Linked DNA regions of Lytechinus pictus. The protein of the gene in region 1 purifies or fractionates together with the protein of each later gene. This does not show direct contact. Links are inferred from orthologs where the notes say so. Each region holds a gene or a part of one and is shown on either strand. Other genes may lie near its edges. The genes, in order: leucine zipper transcription factor-like protein 1 and Bardet-Biedl syndrome 7 protein homolog.

Region 1 (10,555 bases):
TTGTTCTCTTGCTGTTACTCTTTAATATGTTCTCTTTTAGTTTTGAATATTCCTTCTTTGAGCAAAAACAAACATTTTTCAACCGAAGTATGGGCATGATGGGAGAGCGTGTATTTTTTTCAAATCCTTTCATTGTGTGCTACAAAGGTTATGGTGCCTTTGAACAGTGGCATGCAGATGGGTGGGGCTCGGGGTGCCCCCCCCCCCTTCAAAAAAAATAAAAATGTGGAAAGAAAATAAAAGGAAAGATAGGAAGTGAAATATGATTTATTTTCTGAATATTATGTCAAAATCTATCACAAAATTTGATATTTTAATAAAAAAGTGGAAATTTCTGCTTGCTCGCTTCGATCTCTCACAACTTTTTAAAACATTTTATCCGATCTGCCATATCTAGCTCCTTCCAAATCGACTCAATACACCATTGCCATTGAAAGCCCATGAATCTTTTTCCGTTTGTCCTGTCAAGCACATAATTAAACTTGGTGAAGGGCTCAATAACCCCTTGAAAATATAGGATTCATGTTTTAAAGGTACCATAACACAATTCGTTTCACATAAAAAAAAGATTTGAATAATTACAAGTTTTCCAATTAATAATGCAAAGCTTCTTGCTTCAGTTGACAAAAGTCTTCTTTTCTTACTTATGAAGGAAAATTCAAAGGCAAAAGAAGTTTAAATGAAAAAACAAAACAATTCAAGCAAATAAATAAATTTGACAGCATAATTCGAAAACCGTGGCAAAGATAAAAAAAGGAAGTCTGCTGATTAGCAAAAAGTCTGATCATCAAATATTTCATTTCTGCTATTTTGGCGCAAGCCTCCTTTAGAACTCCGGATAAAAAACGTACCGTGTTCGCTCAAGCATGAACAAAATTTATATTTTTAAATGACATTTCAAAGATAAGATTTAAGAGCATCTATTAACATCAAAATATAGATGTCATAATTTGAAAAAAAAAATTATAGTCTTTTCAAAACTGTCCCGTTTCTTTTATACGCACTGTTTAAGGGATCGAGGCGGAAAAACATTTTATCCACACTTTTTCCGATCGGCAGCTGAAAACTAACTAAAGGCTGAAATTTTAAGTACATCTTAACTTTTTTTAACGAACAATATAAGGTATCCCAAAAAGCATAAATAACAAATATTGGAAGTGCGAAGCGCGAGCCAAATTTTTTATAATGACCTAACGAAAGGGACCTGTCAAGGACTGTTTGCAGTTTTACATTCTGACCTGAAAAGTTGTCATTCTATTTATGCACTTTTTGTAGCCATGATCAGGATGGGTAGGCCTATCTAACTAACAACTGATGAGAGCGCGAAGCGCGAGGTGAAATTTTTGATATTCAAATCTGAAAACTGTATTTTAAGCACGTCTATAAATAAAGAACAAGTTTTTCTCAAATCATTGCGAGTGTGAGGTATGAAATAGTTGACATTGTTTTATACATGGTGAGCGCTGTATAGAGTCTAGAGAAATTATAAAGAAGATATTGATGTTACTAAATGAGAGTGCGAAGCGTGAGGGGATTTTTGATTTGGGGGGAACGATTTAGACCTAAAAACGGGACACTATATATCAGCACCTTTTGTAATCATGTATAGGAAGAGCTAGCATCTATAACTAAACAATGCGAATGCAAAACGCTAAAATGTTTGATACAGGCCTAAATCATTCTCTCAGGCGTTTCTTAATTTCTCTTCCTCATTATTTCCCTCCTCCTCCTCCTCCTCCTTCTTCTTCCTTTAATCTGAAGTTCCCCTATAGTCTTATAAGTCCTTCTTCTTCTTCTTTTTCTTCCTTAATTCTTCTTCTTCTTCTTCTTCTAGTCTTATAAGTTCTTCTCTTGGTTTTTTTTCTTATTATTATTATTATCATTATTAAAAAGCGAATAAAATAAAATTTGGGGGCATTAGCACCGTACTCAGCTATATAGCTAATTGCTATCATACTCATAGAGATAGTGGACTACACTGAAGTAATATCACAGTAAAATATTTCTATCCTTGCTATACAGTTTTTACATCGCGCGCCCACGACGAGCTCACGCTGGTGTTATAGCCGAATTGACCCGGGCAGTCGATTGGTACAGGCAGAACTAATCGGCGGCTCTTTTATCCGCCGATTTGTTCCGGAAATTGTTGGATGGTGCGATAGCCGATTTGTTCCGAACAAGCGATCAGTTTCGATCCGCCGTTAACACCCCTATAGGAAAATGTGATATTCTAGTCATCATTTTCAACCAATAATATTGGCTCCTTCAAATCAACATCACCAATAGAACGGCACATTGCCGATTTGAGAATCTTACTGAATTTATGAATAGACCAGTTCGGAGTTACCTCATGGGCAATTTTGGTCAAACGACCTTTCATTAATTATTTCATTATGATAGGCAGATTTCAAAGCATAAATAGGGAAAGTGGAAGGAAAGCGGGAAAAAAGAAGGAAAGAAGAACAATATCCTGAAATACTAATTAGCATGATAAGCATGGGGGGAATCCACGGAAATATTTCCGTGGGGAATCAACGACACGGGCAAGAATGGCGATAAGAGAAGGAGGCAAAAAGGAAAAGGAAATGAAGGTAGAGTCAAAAGATAATTTGGAAAATCAGAATAATAAGCGACAAGAAAACAATAGAAGAATTTTTTATTGAATAACACGACCAGGCTGCCGAGGATTGAAAAATTTAAAGAACGGGAAGAAAGATGGATGGCGTAATTGTGTATGTATAGTCTATATCATAAACTTGGTATTTTTGCAATAATGGTCGCAATCAGAAAAAAATCCCTAGCCAAGTGTTAGTTATATCCCCCTATATTGTGTCCTAACCTATAAGTAAAGCTTTACGCTGGCTAGATTTATCGCGAAAAGCCTCTTAATGTATACTTTGGCTAAATTTCCAAAACTGCTATCACATAATGAGTATTTCATTACAAAATAATTTCAAAAGGCCAATTTTTTCTGGCTCTCTTCGGTCGCTCGCGACTTTTTACAAATGTTACCACATTGCTATTATGTTGTGTTGCCTCAAATTATTTCGTTTTTTTTATCCGCAACTGCGTTAAAGTTATGTGTTGTTGTGCATACGGTATACCCGCGATTGGATAAAAAATGGCCATCTGCAATGTTTTAAAAATATTACGAAGTTCCGGGAGCTCCGCCCCGAAACAGTGGCGGCACCAATGGGGGGGGGGGGCACAGGGGGCATTTGCCCCCCCGTGAGTTGGCCTCCCACTTGCCCCTCCCCATAAATTTTAAAAACTAAAAACTATAAAACTAAAATAATGTCATAAGCATCCTACTAAAGCTGTAAAGTGATCCAAAACCGCATTTTCGTTCTTTTAATTTTGAAAATGTGCTTATCCATTCACTGTATAGCTCCCAACAATATTTCGTCACTAAAACTTTAACATTTCGCTACCGCTACGCGCTCGCAGTAATTGTTGCCTGAGATAAGTAAATTATCTGTTCACATGAGGCTTAAAAATCCAGTGTCCGCCACCCCAAGTCAATAGGGCCTATGCTTTTCGCGATTAGAGTTTTCATTATTGGTTTTAGCGAGATACACATCCTGCGTATTAGTAATTTTTATAATTTTCTGCTCGCGCTAGCATCAATTGTTTAGTTAGATAACCATCCAGTTCATGATTACGAAAAGTGCGGCTTAGAACGTCCAGTTATCATCACAGGATATCCAAAATTTTCAGCTCGCGCTTCGCGCTGATTGATTGATTGATTGATTGATTGATTTTATTCGTCAAGAATATCACAGGAGATTACAATAAAATTGAAGAATACCTTGACAGGATAGCCCATGAAAGCCGAAAGGCTTATTTCCAATGGGGTCCTATAGTTAGTATAAAACATTAACATATTGTAACAAAAAGTATAAACTACGACAAGTACTGGAATATGGTTTTAAAACAATAATAATGAAATACATACATACATATCCATCAGTCAAATAATATGCAAACATCTGAAGCAAACAACAATCCTCCTAATATATGAAACAAGATTATATTTCAACATACCCTACATTATCTACAATACTAGAAACTAACTGTACAAAATGTTTGGTTTTTACTGGTTATATTGCTCTCGGGTAGCTTCCAGTTTTAGGTGCTTCTTTAATGCTCGCATTATATATTTGGTGAGATATCATTTTCATGACCCAATGCAAAAGTCCTATACTATAATAGTTCCCTTTTCAAGTCAGTGGGGCCTATTTAAAAAATAGCTTTGTGAAATAGGCGAAAAAGTATTGCCCCCCAAATGTTCTTTTGCCCCCCCCCGGCCCCTAAATTAGAAATCATGATGCCGCCATTACCCCGATCCGCATGCACCAAAAGTTCTAACTTACAACCGAGAACAACGTACAAAGAAAAGAGGACAGAAAAGGAACATCACGTCAATAATTATACTTATAAATAATTATACTTACTACCTTCGAAAATTTTGACAAATGTGGAATCAAACGGCGGCTCTCCTTTCGTATCGGCCAAAATTTGAATCAGTCTTTAGGATTTGGCCAGGAATTTGGCAGGCCCGATCGACTAGCCGTTTGGTACTAGCGCAGAGCTTCCACTTTTCAATACAAAATCGAGTCCTTGAATTTATTCTGAAAGTTCCTGGAATTTCACAAAATATCCCTGAATTTTACAGATGTTGTCCAGTCTCCCATAAAATGTTAAACTTCTCTTCTATACACAAAAAAGATGACGCATAGGGCCCAGTGCCGTACCGTATTCTTATGAGCCAACAAATTTTGAGGGGGCAAAACTGAGCCGAAATATGCATGGCGTACCGTACGTATCAGGCAAAAAAATTGCGAGCGAGCAAAAAATTTGTCATTACAAAGATCCAATTTTAGATAGATTTTGACATAATATTCAGAAAAATGATATGATTCCTGGAAAAGACAACTTCCCGGAAAGCTTCCCTGAATTTCCTGGATTTCGGGAAGAGTGGAAATAAGCACTGTACTGGTGGGAACAATTGATCAGCTAGCCATTTTGGAGCGCACAGCTCCGGACTATTCGGCGACCACACCGGCCGCACGCACTCGACATCGCGCGTACTATCGTTACCAAAGATCGTTACCCTGGTTTGGAGTAAACTGAAGTCTGAATTATTTTTCTGCGTATGCCTACAAATACTTTCAGCTCGTTTTAACTCTTCTCTTTGTCTCTTCAGATTGCTGATAAAACTACAGTACCGTTGCTGAACTGAATAATGGTAAATATGACTCATAATATACGGTACCGTACCGTACGGGTACTTGGCTGCAACTTCTTTTTGCCCAGTTTTCAGTTGCCGCGATGGGATTGCACCGCCCCCCTGCCAGCACCCTGCCCTGAGCTTCGGCCGCTAGTGCGAGCCGCCTTCGCTTGCGAATTAAGGCTTTGCTGCGGCAGCGTCATACTCATATTCATAACCACCCATGGGTGCATTTAATACTGCCGCCATGTACTGGAAAATTGAAGGCACGGCGCATGCAAAATTGTAACAAACTCCTGCTAATTTCACACAAAAATTGGAAAACTAAGTAGGATGGGGGATCGGGTGTCCGGACACTTTATATTAGGGTGTCTGGAGAAAAAAATTATTTTTCTTATTTCAAGAAAATATCACATTTTCTTTGTGAATTTGAAGAGAAATTACCTTCAGACTGACAGAAATGTAAAAATTTTGAAAAAAATCCAATTATTGGCTGCAAAAAAGAAGAATGAAATTAGGTAAATTTTCAGCATTTCTCTGCCATAGACTGTGTAGTTAAGAAATGGACACACACAAATCCAAATATTTAGCTTCCGAGAGCTGTTATAAATTTATTATTAATGCCAAAAACTTGTCCATAAAGAGTCCAATAGGATTTTTTATGCTCTATCTGATGGTATGATTTTCATAAAGATTTGGAAACCAGATCACAATGAAAAATTGCGACAAAGTGAAAAAAATTGTGCAAAACAGAAATTTCATTTTCCCATAGAAAACGCATGGAGAAATGGCAATCTCAACACACACAAAAATAAGGGTTTGCAATTTATCTCTAAATCCTTATTTAAAATGATCATATAAACTTGTCCTTACTGTCAAAAGATGCCCCTGAATTTTCTCTTTCCATACATGCCAAACACAAGTTAATAATCAATTCAGATCACATTTTTCTAGTAGCCTGAACTTCCCTGAAAAAATGTGCCATATTTTCCCCTAAATTAGCCTGTTTTATGCTGACACTTTTCAGTGTGGCTTCAGACACCCTATTTATATTTTTGAAGCCTTCTTTTTTGTCTTAAGATTACACTAAAAATATTAATTCAATAGTTGTAATCATCTTCTATTTTGTTCTCTATAATATTTTCTAAAATTTTGTACTAAAATTTGATGAAACTTCGCTTGTAATTTTTTCCAAATGACTTTCTAAAATTGATCGTCCGGACACACAACCTGTCCGGACACACAACAACTGGGTATACCGGTAGGCCTAGGCCTACTTCTAAGAAACTTACCGAACGATGTGAAGTCATAATGAATGTCCCTCAAAGTCAAATAGCATCATTTAAGGACGTTCCGGTTCCACAGTTATTATGTTTGTGCGCATCATGATCTGCGCATATTTTACACTCTGCGCGCTGACGTCACAATGGATGAACTGGTGATTATCAGCTGTAGGAATTGTGAGCTGATTTTTCTCCTTAGCACTACTGCAGATCCGATGTGTTATTTTATGAAGCTAATATAAGTAATAAACTGCAATTCCTCCATGTACCATTTTTTCTATTCTACAATTTAAAAATATTTTCTTTGTAGTGCTGCAAAGTGTGATGAATATGACCCCGAGTTTGAATAATGGAAAAGAAGTTCGGAATTTTTCCTCACATAGATACAAAGCTTTAGGCGCCTTTTCGGGTGTTTTAAGAAGCAAATTTGCTCTAATAAGAGTGCTGATAGTTTGAAAACCAGCACATGAACCCATATATTTTAATGTTTGCACCTCTATAGGTATACCTTCCTTTACATTTTTTTACAACTTTGCAAAGTTTGGTGTAAATGACATGGGTTTTGAATAAAGTGCATGCAGCATTTCTTTTACTTCTCAAGTTTGTTATTGAAATTTGAAATTTTTGAGGTTGAGTATCAATCCCGCAATTTCTAAGAACTGAGAGTGTTGTTAGACTTAAATGAGCAAACAATTGACAACAATATAAATAGATTATCCATCTTACGGATACAATTATTAATCACATTGCAAAATTCGATGAAATTTTCATGAATTTTGACTGAGTAATAGAGCTTTAAATTCATTGTTGTGACCTCGTGAGGTCCAAAAATGCCAAATTCTTTTGAATGCGCAATTCTTAAGAACATCATCCATGTTGGGTTAAATTTGAAGCTCTATAGCAGAAAATCAAGCACATGGACCCATGTTAATTTTTAAATATTTAGGTGCTAAGGTATCTATGTGCAAAGTATGATGAAAATGACATGGATTTTCAATGTTTGGGAGCAAGACTACGGAACCATTTGCATTTTAGACGGTATTAACAGACTTTTGCTTGTTTTCGGTGCATTTTGGGCTGTTTCAATGCAACTCGAAATACTTCAGACACTGATAATTTGAAAAGGAGCACATTGACCCCATAGTCTAAATGTCTTAACTTCTTCAGAATATATTCCTCTACAAATCTAGAGAGTATGATGAAAATGACATGGATTTTGAATGTTTGGGAGCAGGACTAAGGAACCATTTGTATTGTAGACATTTTAGACGGTATTAGACTGTTGCCCGTTTTAGGCGCATTATAGACTGTTTCAAGCCGACTCGCAACACTTTAGACACTGATAGTTTAAAAACGAGCACATGGACCCCATGTTTTTGATATTTTAACGTCATCAGAATATATTCCTCTGCAAATCTAGAGATTATGATGAAAATGACATGGATTTTTAATGCTAGTGAGCAAAACTACGAAACCATTCGCATTTTAGACGGTATTAGACTTCTGCACGTTTTCGGCGCATTTAAGGTGGATTTCAATATTTTCAAGCCAACTCGCAACATTTTGGACACTGATAGATTAAAAACGAGCACATGGACCCCATATTTTTAATATTTTAATGCCTTTATAATATATTCCTCTACAAATCTAGAGAGTATGATAAAAATGACATGGATTTTTAATGTTAGGGAGCAAAATATGGAACCATTTGCATTTTAGAGGGTATTAAGAGACATTTGCATGTTTTGGGCGCATTTTCTGTGATTTTCATGCCAACTCGCATCACTTTGGACACTTATAGTTAAAAAACAAGCACATGAACCCCCAATTTTTAACTTCCCTACACCTTGGATATGCATTCCTCTACAATTTAGCCGAATTTGATGAAAATGACATGGATTTTGAAAAAAGTGCAGCTTACAAAATACTATTTTAATTTTTGAGTAGATTCACGTCTTTGAAGATTTGGTTTTTTACCTGAGTTTTTGCACCATTCTTGCCAAATGAGGGCGCTGCTGACTCAAAATAGATATAGTTTTACCAATTAAAGACTTTTTCTTACTTTGGTATACACTTTGTTATATATCTTGAAAATTTGATGAAGTTTGATGCGGTATCCACTGAGTAAAGATGATTTAAACTCATTTGGTGAATTTGTGAGGTCTAAGAGAGGCATAATTCTCTTGATTGCGCAAGATTGCATATCATTCAAATACGGCGACTTTGAAGACCCATAGAAAAAAAAATAAGCACATGAACCTCTATAATTTTTTGCACTTTCATAATGCATAGATACCAAAGTAATTCTCTGCAAAATTTGGTGAAAATGACATGGACTTCATTTTAACTGTGGAACGTACTTAAGCAATGATTTTTCTCCATGTTGACAAAATACGGACCCTCCGGAGGGGGGGGGGGGGCACTCAGTATATAATGCATAGTGGGTATGTGCCGCGGTGGGGACCCCCATTTTTACACTCAAATTTCCGTTCCATGGCATAGCATTTTTGTCTTATTGAGAAAAAGAACAAAGAAAGCCGCTCCAAAGCATAGCATTTTCTTCTTATCGAGAAAAAAGAAGAAAGAAATCTGCTCCAAAAGCTTCGCATATTTTCTGTTAGGCCGTTCCGGCTGCATTGATCTGCTACAGTGAGCCGCAATTTTGATGAAAAGCGGCCGCAGAGCGCTGTCCGACCATCGCCTCTGTGCTAGCGCACCCGGCGCTCGTGCCGCCGGGCTAGCTGCATGCACTTTCCATAGCCATAGGGATGCATACGCACTCACGCAGGCGACCCGTTCCAAGGACCCCCGTTTTCACAAACATTTGTAGTCTCTTAATTCTTTCTCACTTATTTATTAGTATTTCGGGATGATTTTAATTTTCTCACATTATGTTTTCCTTTCCTTTCTTTTCACTCTTTCCTCGCGTTTGACTTTCTTATATCTATATTCTTTCTTTCCCTTCATCTACTTTTCTCTTTTACCCTTTCCATTTTCCTTTCTTGCCCCCCCCCTCTTTTTCTTCTCATTCTTTCCCTTTCTCTCTTCTCTTCCCCTTTTCCATATGCAAAACTATGTACACTACAGCAGGGTGCGACATAAGCACTTGCCCGATTGCCCGGGGCAAGTAAAAGTTAGAGTCGGGCAAGTGTTTTGAAGCAAAGACAAAAACTGCTTGCCCGAATCGGGCAAGCAAAATTCTCATATGGAAATTATATTTTAGAAAGATTCCCCATATTTCACCATCAAAATAAAGAAACGAAAAAGAGTTCAAAGAAAAACAATATCATTAATTTCTTCTTTCAAAAAAGTTTATAATTCGAATTGCAAAATTTGCGCCATTTTCTGCAATAAACACACAGCTCAGAGACGTACACACACACACAGAATCAATGGCAGTCTAGCATACCTAGCGCCTAGTCCATGCAGCCGATGCATGTTGTTAAGTTTCTACGGAGTACGGTGCTGCACGAACGAAGTTTGCTCTGGAAGAAATCTCCCACAGAACTGTCAAAATTCACATTTCTTACCAATGAAAATTCTTGTAATGTCCATATTTCCTAAAAATTGGGTTAGCTCTGTCATTTGTAAGCAGTAAAAGGAGAATTTTTTCACTTCTGTTATGCTTCAAAAAGATCGGGTTTCGAATGATCGTCTGTATCGCACACACTGAAATACATTGTTTGACAGTCCCACATATGCATTTGTGTGTATGTTGATAAACTTGGTTTCTTTCATAACTATTTTTTTTTGCCAAGGAAATTGATAAATTTTCTTCTTTATCTATGACTGGATAGTTTGAGCTTTCTTCCTCTCTATTTTCTTTCTTTCTGCTTATCTTTTCTTCTTTTGAATCTCTCTTAATATCTTTAAATTTCCTTCCTTCTTTTGTTCATTTTTTCTGTTACTATAGCTGTCTTTCTTTTTGTCATTCTTTTCTTTCTATCTTTTTTTCTTTCTTCCTTCCATCCAATCTTTGTTTACCTCTTTATTTAATCCTTCCTTCTTTTTCCCCTTCTTTTCATTCTTTCTTACTGTCTTC
Region 2 (10,555 bases), on another chromosome or scaffold:
AAAAAATGGGAAATATGCAAATGAGGTAAACCATGTGATCAGCATCATCAGAATTACTGGTATTACTGGTCTTGACCAGTTGGAAAGTCAATTTCAAACAATAATGGAATTACTTTTGACCAGTTGTTTATATCAAAGGAATATAACTTTGATCTTGATAATAAAAGGAAACAATTATTATGATATTTAATACTAATGATGATTACAATAATAATAACGATAATAATAATAATAATGATAATAATAATAAAAATAATACAATAACAATAATGATAACATTAATAAGAATGATAACAACAATGGTCATGATATAATCATCATCATTATATTAATTTTAATAATAATAATAACAATGATGATAATAATAAGAATAATAATAATAAAAATAATAAAAACAATATTAATAATAATAATAATAAGAAGAAGAATGATGATGATAATGATAACGATAATAACTTTATCTGAATTGCAAGATTCATTTTCCATAATTCGTCAAATTAATTTGACTTGAAATAAAATCATTATTTTTATTGGACCAGTTACACCAGTTTGATGAAAAACAAATTAACTGGTATTAGTACTTTGCTTTAACTGGAATACAATTGTTGGAACTGGTCACCAGTTGATTTTTACTGGTACATTTAAAAATCAACTGGCCCAGTAAAAATCTACTGGAAACCATTTATTGGACCAGTAACACCAGTTTGATGAAAAACAATTTAACTGGTATTACTACTTTACTTCAATTGGAATACAATTGTTGGCACTGGTCTCCAATTGATTTTTACTGGTCCAGTTAAAAATCAACTGGCCCAGTAAAAATACACTGGAAACCAGTGAAAATATACTGGAAATTAACCAGTAAAAAATTTACTGGTCTTACTGGTTTTTCCTTCTGGGATGGTAGGGAAAAAACCTTTCAGGATGATAAATAATAAACTATAAAAAAAAAATTGCTTGCGTATCGCGCTCACATTCGCGTAAATTAATAAATACTCTTCCTGTTCATGATGGCAAAAGGTGAATAGAACGTCAAAAAAAAATCAACTCGCGCTTCGCTCTCGAATCATTTACAATGCCCTCTTTATGCCCTCCTATATCATAAGTTCCCTGTGATTAAACTTCTGACACTTATTAATAGTATTCAACAGAAACTTGTCGAACTCACAGCTTTGGCATCTCTAGGCTACAAACTTGGATGTTGGACATGCATGGGTGACTAGGTATTATTTGACAAGACACATCCATTTTTTAACCATTCCATATTCACTTGAGGAATATGCAGCCAAGAGCGAAAAAATATGTTATGTACCCAGCCAGTGGCGTACCGTGGGTCACAGCATTGGGGGGGGGCACCAGCAAAAATTTTGAGTCACTTAGTGAGTGCGCGAAGCGCGCCCAGTTGCCAGGTATACTGACCTAATATAGACATTTTAAGGACAGTGCCATAAAACGGATATGTCTCTCACTGCTCAAATAATGCGAGCGCGAAGCGCGAGCTTAAATTTTTTGATATTAAGTCCTAAGAAGGGACATTATATAATCAATGATTTGTAATAATGATACGTACCTGTCTCGCTAAATAATGCGAGCGCGAAGCTGAAATTTTTGTAAATATTGACCCCCAAACAGAAAGATTTTAAGGACTATATTTTAGGAATCCATTAAGCGTATACACATCTCACCATAGTCATCTAATGCGAGTGCCAATAAGCGCTTGCTGATTCTGTTAGAATTACATCTAAACATGCACATAAAGCACTTGTAATCATGATTATCAGATTAATCATGATCAACATACCCATCTCACTAATCAAATCTTGCGAGCGCGAGCTGAAAATTTAGGAAATTCAGACCTGAAGAGGAGCATTTTAAGGCTTGTTTGAAGGAATACACGAAGACCATACGTAGTTCACTAACCAAATGATGCGAGCGCGAATATATTCTGATTAGAAAAAGGGACATTTTAAGGACTGATTCTAGGAATTCATGGAGAGCAGACATATTTCACCAATCCACTAATGCGAACGTAAGCACGGAGAGGAAATGTTTTATATTAAGACCATAAAATGGGGCAATCACTTTAAGTAGTCATGAAAAAGAAGCATACTATTGTACATAAAACAATAATAACTCGAAGTGCGAGGAAATATATTTGGCAGTTTGGTGCATATTGACTAGAAAACGGGAGGTTCTAGTATAACAGGATTATATATCTCGGTAAACAGACAATGTGAGCACCAGGAACAATGAAGACATAGGCCCCGAGCAAATTGTGTTTCATAAAGTTATGAAAAAAATGTTTCTTATGTACTATAACATAACATAATTATGAAATAATATAACATTATAATGAACAATAATGTCTTCTTTCCCACTACGTTTCTCTTCCTTTCTCCCTCTTTTTCTCCTTTTCCTCTTTTTTGGGGGGGTCAGCCGATTGGGGGGGGGGGCACGTGCCCCCCATGCCCCTCCGTTGTTACGCCACTGTACCCAGCTATTAATCCTCAAAACCATATTAATCTCTTTATATCTTCAACATTTACATTTCTCTTTGTAGCTGCTCTTTTTATATGATTAAGTTTAAATACCATGCTCATCGTACTGTTAAGAATTTGTAGACAAGCAATATACAAACAAGGATAATTTTTTTTTTTTTTTTAGAAATGAGATAAATTAAGTGGTGTCCTTTAATTTGCCATTGCCAGTATGCATGTAGGCATATTATTTAAAGGGATGGTCCAGGCTGGAGATATTTCTATCTAAATAAATAGAGTAAAATTCACAAAGCAAAATGCTGAAAATTTGATCGAAATCGGATAACAAATAACAAAGTTATTGAATTTTAAAGATTTGCATTATTCCGGTAAAACAGTTCTAGGCATGTCTTTATGAATATTTATTAGGTGGGTTGATGATGTCATATCCCCACTTGTTCTTCTGTATTTTATTATATGAAATTAGATTTATTTAAAATATTTCTACCAAGGAACAATTGGATTGACAACTGATTAAGCACATTAGTTATTTATTGCCGCAACTTATTTCATCATATTGAAGACACATCATGTACGCACGTATAAAATAACATTTATGATTTCATGTAATAAACTAAGAAAAAGGAAAGTGGGGGATGTGACATCATCAGCCCACCTAATGAATATTCATGACGATGTGCATATAACTGTTTTCACAATATATTGATAATCTTTAAAATTCAATAACTTTGTTATTTGTTATCCGATTTTGATGACATTTTCAGCATTTAGCTTTGTGAATTTTACTCTATTTATTTAGATAGAAATATTTACATGTACAGCCTGGACCATCCCTTTACAAATGGTACTGTACACTTAAAAGTGGATTATTTTCCTCAAGATTGTTTAAGGGTAAAATACATCGTTGCTAAGGTAAATAGTGTTGCTAGGCAATGGAATTGTGTCAGTAGATGATGGTAAATTCCTGAATACTGTTTAACAACCTATCATATGTTAATTTTCTCAATATTTTTACTCTACGGCACAACTTCCTCAGCACATTTGACCGAGATGAAGAGTGGTAACATAGCCGTTGCTAGGGAATATTGTTACTAGGCAACACATTTGTCTCCATGGAAGCTAAAAAATAGTCAGTTTGTTGAATGATTATTGAAAACGAGGTTGTAGGCTGCATCTAAATGATAATTGTGTCAGTATTATTGCTCATAATGAACTATTTTTACACAGATTTGTCCAGGGAGGAGAGTCGTTATCATAGTCGTTGCTATGGAAAATAGTCGTTGCTAGGCAATGAATTGGTATCCATGGGTAATGTGAAATGGTAATTTTGTTGTTGTTCTATTGAAGACAAGATACTGCATGTTAATTGATCAGGTATTATTAACTCAATCCACTTTTTTCACCACAAAATAGTATAAAGTATGTGACTTGTACGTACGTATATATCAATGTAGTCAAAATGAACAATAATATGGCGATTTGTACGATAGAAGGGGGTGTGTTAAGTAGAGCTTAGCACATTTATTTGAGGTTTGCAATAGTTAAAATGGGTTTTTTAGTTCTTTTTATTATTTTTCAATAATACTTTATAGAATTTCATTGGTGTAACTTATTAGGTTTAATCTAACCTAGTTAAAAAGTTAAAAGTTAGGTTTGAAATGGAAAAATAAGTGGTTTACTTAAGGAGCCAACTGGTTGCTAAGGAAAGTTATGTTGCTAGGCAACAATTTCTGAGAAAATGTTCATAAAATTCATGCTAAGTTGTTATTCAGTAATCCTTCTTACAATATAAAGTGGAACTATCCTTTAAAAATAAGAAAAAATACCTGATGATTTAAATTAAATAGTAAAAAATCAATATTCACGATAAATTTTCAATATGTATTTAAAATGGGCGTGGCTTAATCAAGGCCGGTTTCCATGGTGATGCTACACATTACGTCACTTTTAATGCCCAAATCCGAAAAATTCAGAAATTTTCCTTTAATTTGATGTATGATTTTGCTTTGATCCAGCCGGGGGGATTAAAGTCAATAAATAAGCCACTTTTTGGCTTCTGGCCGCTCACCTAATACAACAAGCAGTTCTGGCGCGTATGATCTGGAGAGATAAAGCGCCATCATATTCATTTATATACTACCACTTAACAAGTTTTACAGCTTGTTAGTTGGTTTCACCCTTTTTGTTTAAACAAAGCTCGTTCTTTATTCAAACATGTGCTGAAACTGATCAGTTTTTAGGTCAGAATGTCAAAAATTTCCACCTCGCACTGAGTAGGTAACCCTCCATAGCTGGATACACATCCTGCTTAGAATGCCAATCTTTCAACTCGGAATGTCAAAAATTTAGCTCGTGCTTCATTCGCGCTCGCATTGTTTGGTTGGAGAGATGCATATCTTGATCATGGTCTTTAAAAAAATGGATATAATGTTCAATAAATTTTTGGTGTGAATAAAGGAAATATCCAACAAATCGAGCTCGCATTTGCAATATTTTATTTATTTGTGTTCTGCAGTGGGCGGCCCTGACGATTAAAGATAATTTCTCCAATTATCAGGAAATAAGGGATTTGTATATGAATGGGGAAAACCTATGAATGGTATGATCTACTCGTGTGATAATTTTTATCTGATGCCGTAATTGTTTAATCAATTCCCAATGTATGTCCAAGCCTGATTTCTTTGCTTTTTTTTTTTACTCATCCCTGATCTCGGAGGCCGGCGTTTTTGGAACGACCCACATATTTTGGAATGCAATCACGTACGTGATTAGGCATCAAACAAGTCATGAAACATTTCCCATGTCTCATCTATATCGGTTTCTTCGAGAAACAATTCCCAAGGGGCGTAATGACTTGTGAATGTCCAACATCTGTTTTATCGTTTTATCGTTTTATCATAACGTTAGAGGAGATCGACGAAACTTCTTTACTGCAATTATACTTTTATCTTTATTTCGAAGGAAGTAACTGCGTTGTTATGATCACTGATATTTCGCATATACTGAGAATAACCTGAATCACTGTGATTTCATTTCTCACAAATATCATTTTCTATCAATTTGCAATGGTTTAGACAACTGAAAGAGCTAAATTAAGTCAATAACAAATATAATGATCATCTCCATATCCATGTTTAGTCGATCAACTACAGAGCTAGAGCTAGAGCTAGAGGGCAGCAAACGTCGAATTCCATATGAAAATTTTCCTTTGCAGAATTTGTGGAGCGTTCGTAGCAACGAATGCAGCAAATATTATTCAAGGTAATTGGATCTTATCATGTAATTTGTAACAGTTATATTTTATAGTGTTGTCTGTTTTTACATCTAACATTGTATGTATAAACTTTTAAGGTTTCTGGTTGTAATAGTGGCAGGTTGTGCAGCTATATAATTTCTACTTTCCATAGATTGACTTTGAGTTTGAGTTTGAGCTCAGTTTAGTCCCACATATTGAATGTAATGTAAGTCAGACGAATGTCGACTCGGTTATGGTGGTCCTAGTCCTAGACCTAGACAGCTGGCGCTGGCAGCCGTCTGTTTCGAGGAGTTTTTTTTATTTTTTACATTTTTTATTTCTCCTCATACACAGCTCGCTATCGTGCAGCCACCGTTAGGCCGATTAACAATGCAAAATCTGACGGGGCTCATCGATTTTTGTCTTTATTTCATAAATTAAAAAATAAAAAATATACAAAAAGAACTTTACCAAATTCCAAAATAAAGATTGTTATTCCGTTTTACTTTTAGCCTGAAATTCACCAAAACGGGGAATTAACAGTGACTTACTTCGGCTGCCGCGCAACTTCACTTCCCTGTTTTATCCGAACTTAATACATAAACATGGCCATTGAGTCCCTGTACAGATCGAGCTAGAACTTCGGTCTCTGACTCTGTATTTGGTGAGTGGAGCCAACAGAGTTCAGCGGAACAACCAACATAAAAGTGTGTTATGAGTTTTTGTCAGACGTGTATCAATCAGATATGATTATTTACGTCTGGGACTGACCTTTAACGTCACCATCCGAAAGACGTGACCAGGGCTCGAACCTCGAACCTCTGCATCAATTTGTAACTTCCCCGCATAGCTTGGATTACAGGCGCACGCCACAACGCCCAGCAAGAGACCGAAGCTTTTGGTCTATAGTATGGTGGTCCTAGCCTGGAGGCTTCTGGAGAGTAAAAGTATCTACTGTACGTCACTCGTCATCCCCGACCATTTTCCATACAGCAAAAGGTAGGGGATGGGACTAGAGGTATGTGAGGCGTACTCATAGACAAAATTTGTAAAATGTAAAAGTAAGAGAGTTTGACTTACCAGTCTTTCTCCCGAACCAAACATTGATCTTCCTTCCGTTGTTGCTGGAATTTATCTTGGACTCAACAATATATTGTCATTTATTCGAGGACTCTTCGAGAAATCGTCGGAATGTATGATGAAATTTGGTTGTTGTTTGAAGGTTTGCATGGTGGTATGTACAATCGCTGATGTGGTTTACGGTACACCATGTGAAGTGTAACTTGTAGAAACAGTGGATAGGAGAAGAGAAGAAATGGATAGGCGAGAAAGTGGAGATTTGAGAGTAGATTATTCTTTCTTGAAAGTAGTCCTGAAAAGGACTGTAAACCAGGAAAGATTGATGAGTTGAGAACAGCTTGAGTAGTAGAGCTAGTGAGGAGATGCTGGCTTGAGTCGGCGAGTAGAGATGATGAGTAGTAGAGAGACTCGACGTTTCGGGCAGGTTGACTGTCCGTCTTCAGGAGTGAGTGTTCGCTTGGCGTGCGGCGGTACTTATGGCGTTCGTGCGGACGTGGGGGAAAGCGCTGGGCCGGCGGTCACGGCGGGCGGACGTCGTAGGTGGCGCTCTGTGCGTGGGTCGGCGGTTTTTGGCGGGAAACGAGTTGGCGTGGTATGCGGACGCGGTGAGTAGACGGCGGGGTGAGTTACGGCGGCGGTGTGTGTCGGCGGCGTGGTAGGTACATCAGTGGTGGCGTTCCGTGCGTGTTGGTCGGCGGACTCGTCGGGTAGGCTTCGGCGGGATTGAGTGGGTGGCCTGGTGTACGGATGAGGTGTTGGGTCGTCGGCGGAGGTTGTAGCGAGGCGTCGGTGTCGGTGGCGTGTGCGTCGGCGAAGTTGCTGGTTGAGTTGGTGATTCGTTCAGACTGCTGTGTTGGGTAGGAGGGCTTGGTAGGGTGACGGTGGACGGCGAGTTGCTTGTGGAGTTGGTTGTGGATTGGTTGGAAGTTGGGTGGTGACGTAGGATTGGGTGCCAGATTGTGTTGATGTGGAGACCAGGGTCTTGAGGCACGGTGTTGTGTTGATGTATCTCAATGGCTTCCCTGACCCTTCTGGTATTCCAGTGCCGGATGTTGGTGATTAGGTGGCTCTTGTCCCAGTCTATGCTGTGATTTTCTTGTTGTGCGTGTTTGACGATGGCAGATCGGTCCCAGTCGCTGCGTCGGTGGTGGGTCTTGTGTTCCTTGAGTCTGGTGTCGAAGTCTCGGCCGGTTTCTCCAATGTAGACTTTGCCACAGTCGCAGGGGATCTTGTAGACGCCTGGTTGCTTGTTGGATGGGTGCTTGTCCTTATGAGAGTGCAGGATGGAGTGTAGCTTGCGGGAGGATTGGTGTCTGACGAGGATGTTGGCAGAGTGAAGGATGCGTTGTAGTCGGTGTGAAGTCTTGCCGATGTAGGGAAGTGTTATGGTGGCGATAGGCTTGGTTTCGGATGGGTTTTCGGTGCTGTTGGTGTTGGGTTGGTGGCTGGACGGTTGAGTGTTAATCCTTCTCCTGGGGTAATGGTTGATGGTGGTGAGTGCATTGGTCACGTGCTTGAGTTCCTGCTGTAAGTGTGCCTTGTCGCTTAGTTGGTGGGCTCGTCTGATGAGAGTGCGGGCGACTGATTGGTGGACGGATGGGTGGTGGTGTGAGCGGAAATTGAGGTAGCGGTCTGTGTGGGTGGGTTTCCGGTACACCTGGTGAGATGGGAATCCAGATGGTGTCTTGGTGATGCGAACGTCTAGAAAAGGGATTGAGTCGTCGCGTTGGGTCTCCATGGTGAACTTGATGCTGGGGTGCTGGTGGTTGAGGTGGTTGAGAAACTGGTGAAGGTCGGGTGTGCTGTGCGGCCAGATGACAAAGGTGTCGTCGACATAGCGGAGCCAGAGTGAAGGAGGTTTGTCCGCAGTCTTGAGTGCTTGGTGCTCGAAATGTTCCATGAAGATGTTAGCGATGATTGGTGAGAGAGGTGAACCCATGGCTGCTCCTTGTAGTTGTTTGTCAAATCTCCACTTTCTCGCCTATCCATTTCTTCTCTTCTCCTATCCACTGTTTCTACAACACTTCACATGGTGTACCGTAAACCACATCAGCGATGATGAAATTTGTCATGATCCTCAGCAGCGCATAGACTTCTACATAGAGGATGTAACGCGCCCTCTTGTGCTCAATTAAAGAAAGCTAACGGAAGCGACCACACCACTGTCCTCTACAGAGCTGTATAAAAATGCTTAGTATATATCTCTATGTTCTCACCACAGATACCTGTTTCCGGTGATGCTTCTATTTCGGATCTCCGAGATCCAGCGATAGTAGTCTCTTTCTCCCCTGACACACAATATTTTGTTATAATTATTTTATACATAAGAATAATTGTTGTAGCGCCATCAGCTTAGTTTATTCTATAATGAACTGTATCTTGTCGTATGGTGAAAGGAAATATGATGCCTTTTTTTTGGGGGGGGGGGTTATTGCTTCTTCTCTCGATCCCCCGATCCCTCTCTTTTATTGAGTATTATCATTGTAAGGGTTAATTATTAATATTATTATTTTGGTTTTCTATTATTTTTCATATTGTTATGGAATATTCATTTTCATCATCATATCACTTTTGTAAGCCCACATTTTGTACCGTCCTGAAATTAATATGGGTAAAGGGTGAAATGTGAAAAAAATGGAAGGGGCAAGAAACTCAAGACAAAGTGATAAAACAGAACATAATTACGTTCCAATTTTTTTTAATGAGTTTCTTTTATTTATCCAGGATGGGGAGCACATCAGGCTCGTGCCCACCCCCTCGAAAGCCATAGAACACATTTATTTTGCATCCATTTTGTTTGATAATTTGTATAAATTGTTAATTTCATTTGATTGTAATCCTTTATGTTTGGATTTGAAATCAATTAAATTAACTTGAAACTTTCCCGCCCTCCCCCTTGAAAATTTTGATCTGCCCCTAGGCCTAAATAGGCCTTTGTGGTAAGAGATTTTTTTTTAATTTTTTTTTTTAATGAAAACCCTTTAGGTTTAGATTTTAAATCAATGAAAACAAACTTGAAACTTCATACTGTATAGCAAGCAGCTGTTATCATAATTGTGAAATTAATCGTTACATAAATCTCCTTCACGGGGGGGGGGGGGGAGCTTGTTATTTTTTTCTGTAAAAGAAACCACCCCCTCCCCCTTTGGAAAATCCTGGATTCTCCCCTGATTAGACCCACAGCAAAGTTCGTTATTCCGAACTTCTGTTACATCAATAATTCGGAAATTAATGCCTAACTTTGTAAAAATATTTCTATCGACAAGTTCATTAATCAGAAAAGAATAAGGGGCTTCTTCATCAAGAGTCCCATATTAAACAGAAAATTAACAAAATCGAAACAACTGAATTTCTCCTTTATTTTTTTATTTCATACAAAAATGTCTTATTTCATTTCAGTTTCACAACTACTAGTATCACTTTTGACTTTGTATCAATATGAAACAAAATTGCAAATTTGTCTTGATTGAGGCTATCAAGACTTCCTTACCAGAATGCATTACGAGCAAAGTTTCGTCGAAACCTCAACGGTCAGTGGTCCAAACGGGTTGATGAGCCTCTATGGTTTCGTGAGATCTTTTTTCTTTTTTGATTTGTCACTGTCGTACACCATAGACGTAATGGAGGCATTTGGATGAGGTTCAGGTTGAGAAATCGGTGAGTTTCTACTCATTTTTAATATCATATTTATTAATTCAAAGTCATATCCGTCAAAATAACATTTTACATCAACGGATCAGTT

The links.
Region 2: the proteins of leucine zipper transcription factor-like protein 1 (region 1) and Bardet-Biedl syndrome 7 protein homolog purify together in Homo sapiens (affinity purification with mass spectrometry; 3 studies listed by BioGRID and IntAct, counting the BioPlex papers as one, with this or other methods). This does not show direct contact. The link is inferred for Lytechinus pictus from reciprocal best matches to the Homo sapiens genes LZTFL1 and BBS7.

Annotation. Positions count from the first base shown.
Region 1 is NC_087247.1:43,265,303-43,275,857, reverse strand, and holds the start of leucine zipper transcription factor-like protein 1, read left to right. Parts: upstream 1-4,788; 5' UTR 4,789-5,245; coding exon 5,246-5,248; intron 5,249-10,555. UniProt on the Homo sapiens protein: Regulates ciliary localization of the BBSome complex. Together with the BBSome complex, controls SMO ciliary trafficking and contributes to the sonic hedgehog (SHH) pathway regulation. May play a role in neurite outgrowth. May have tumor suppressor function.
Region 2 is NW_026974140.1:10,644,977-10,655,531, forward strand, and holds the start of Bardet-Biedl syndrome 7 protein homolog, read left to right. Parts: upstream 1-5,672; 5' UTR 5,673-5,759; intron 5,760-7,477; coding exon of another isoform or gene 7,478-8,752; intron 8,753-10,555. Other genes in the region: uncharacterized protein LOC129265491, read right to left, coding at 7,478-8,752.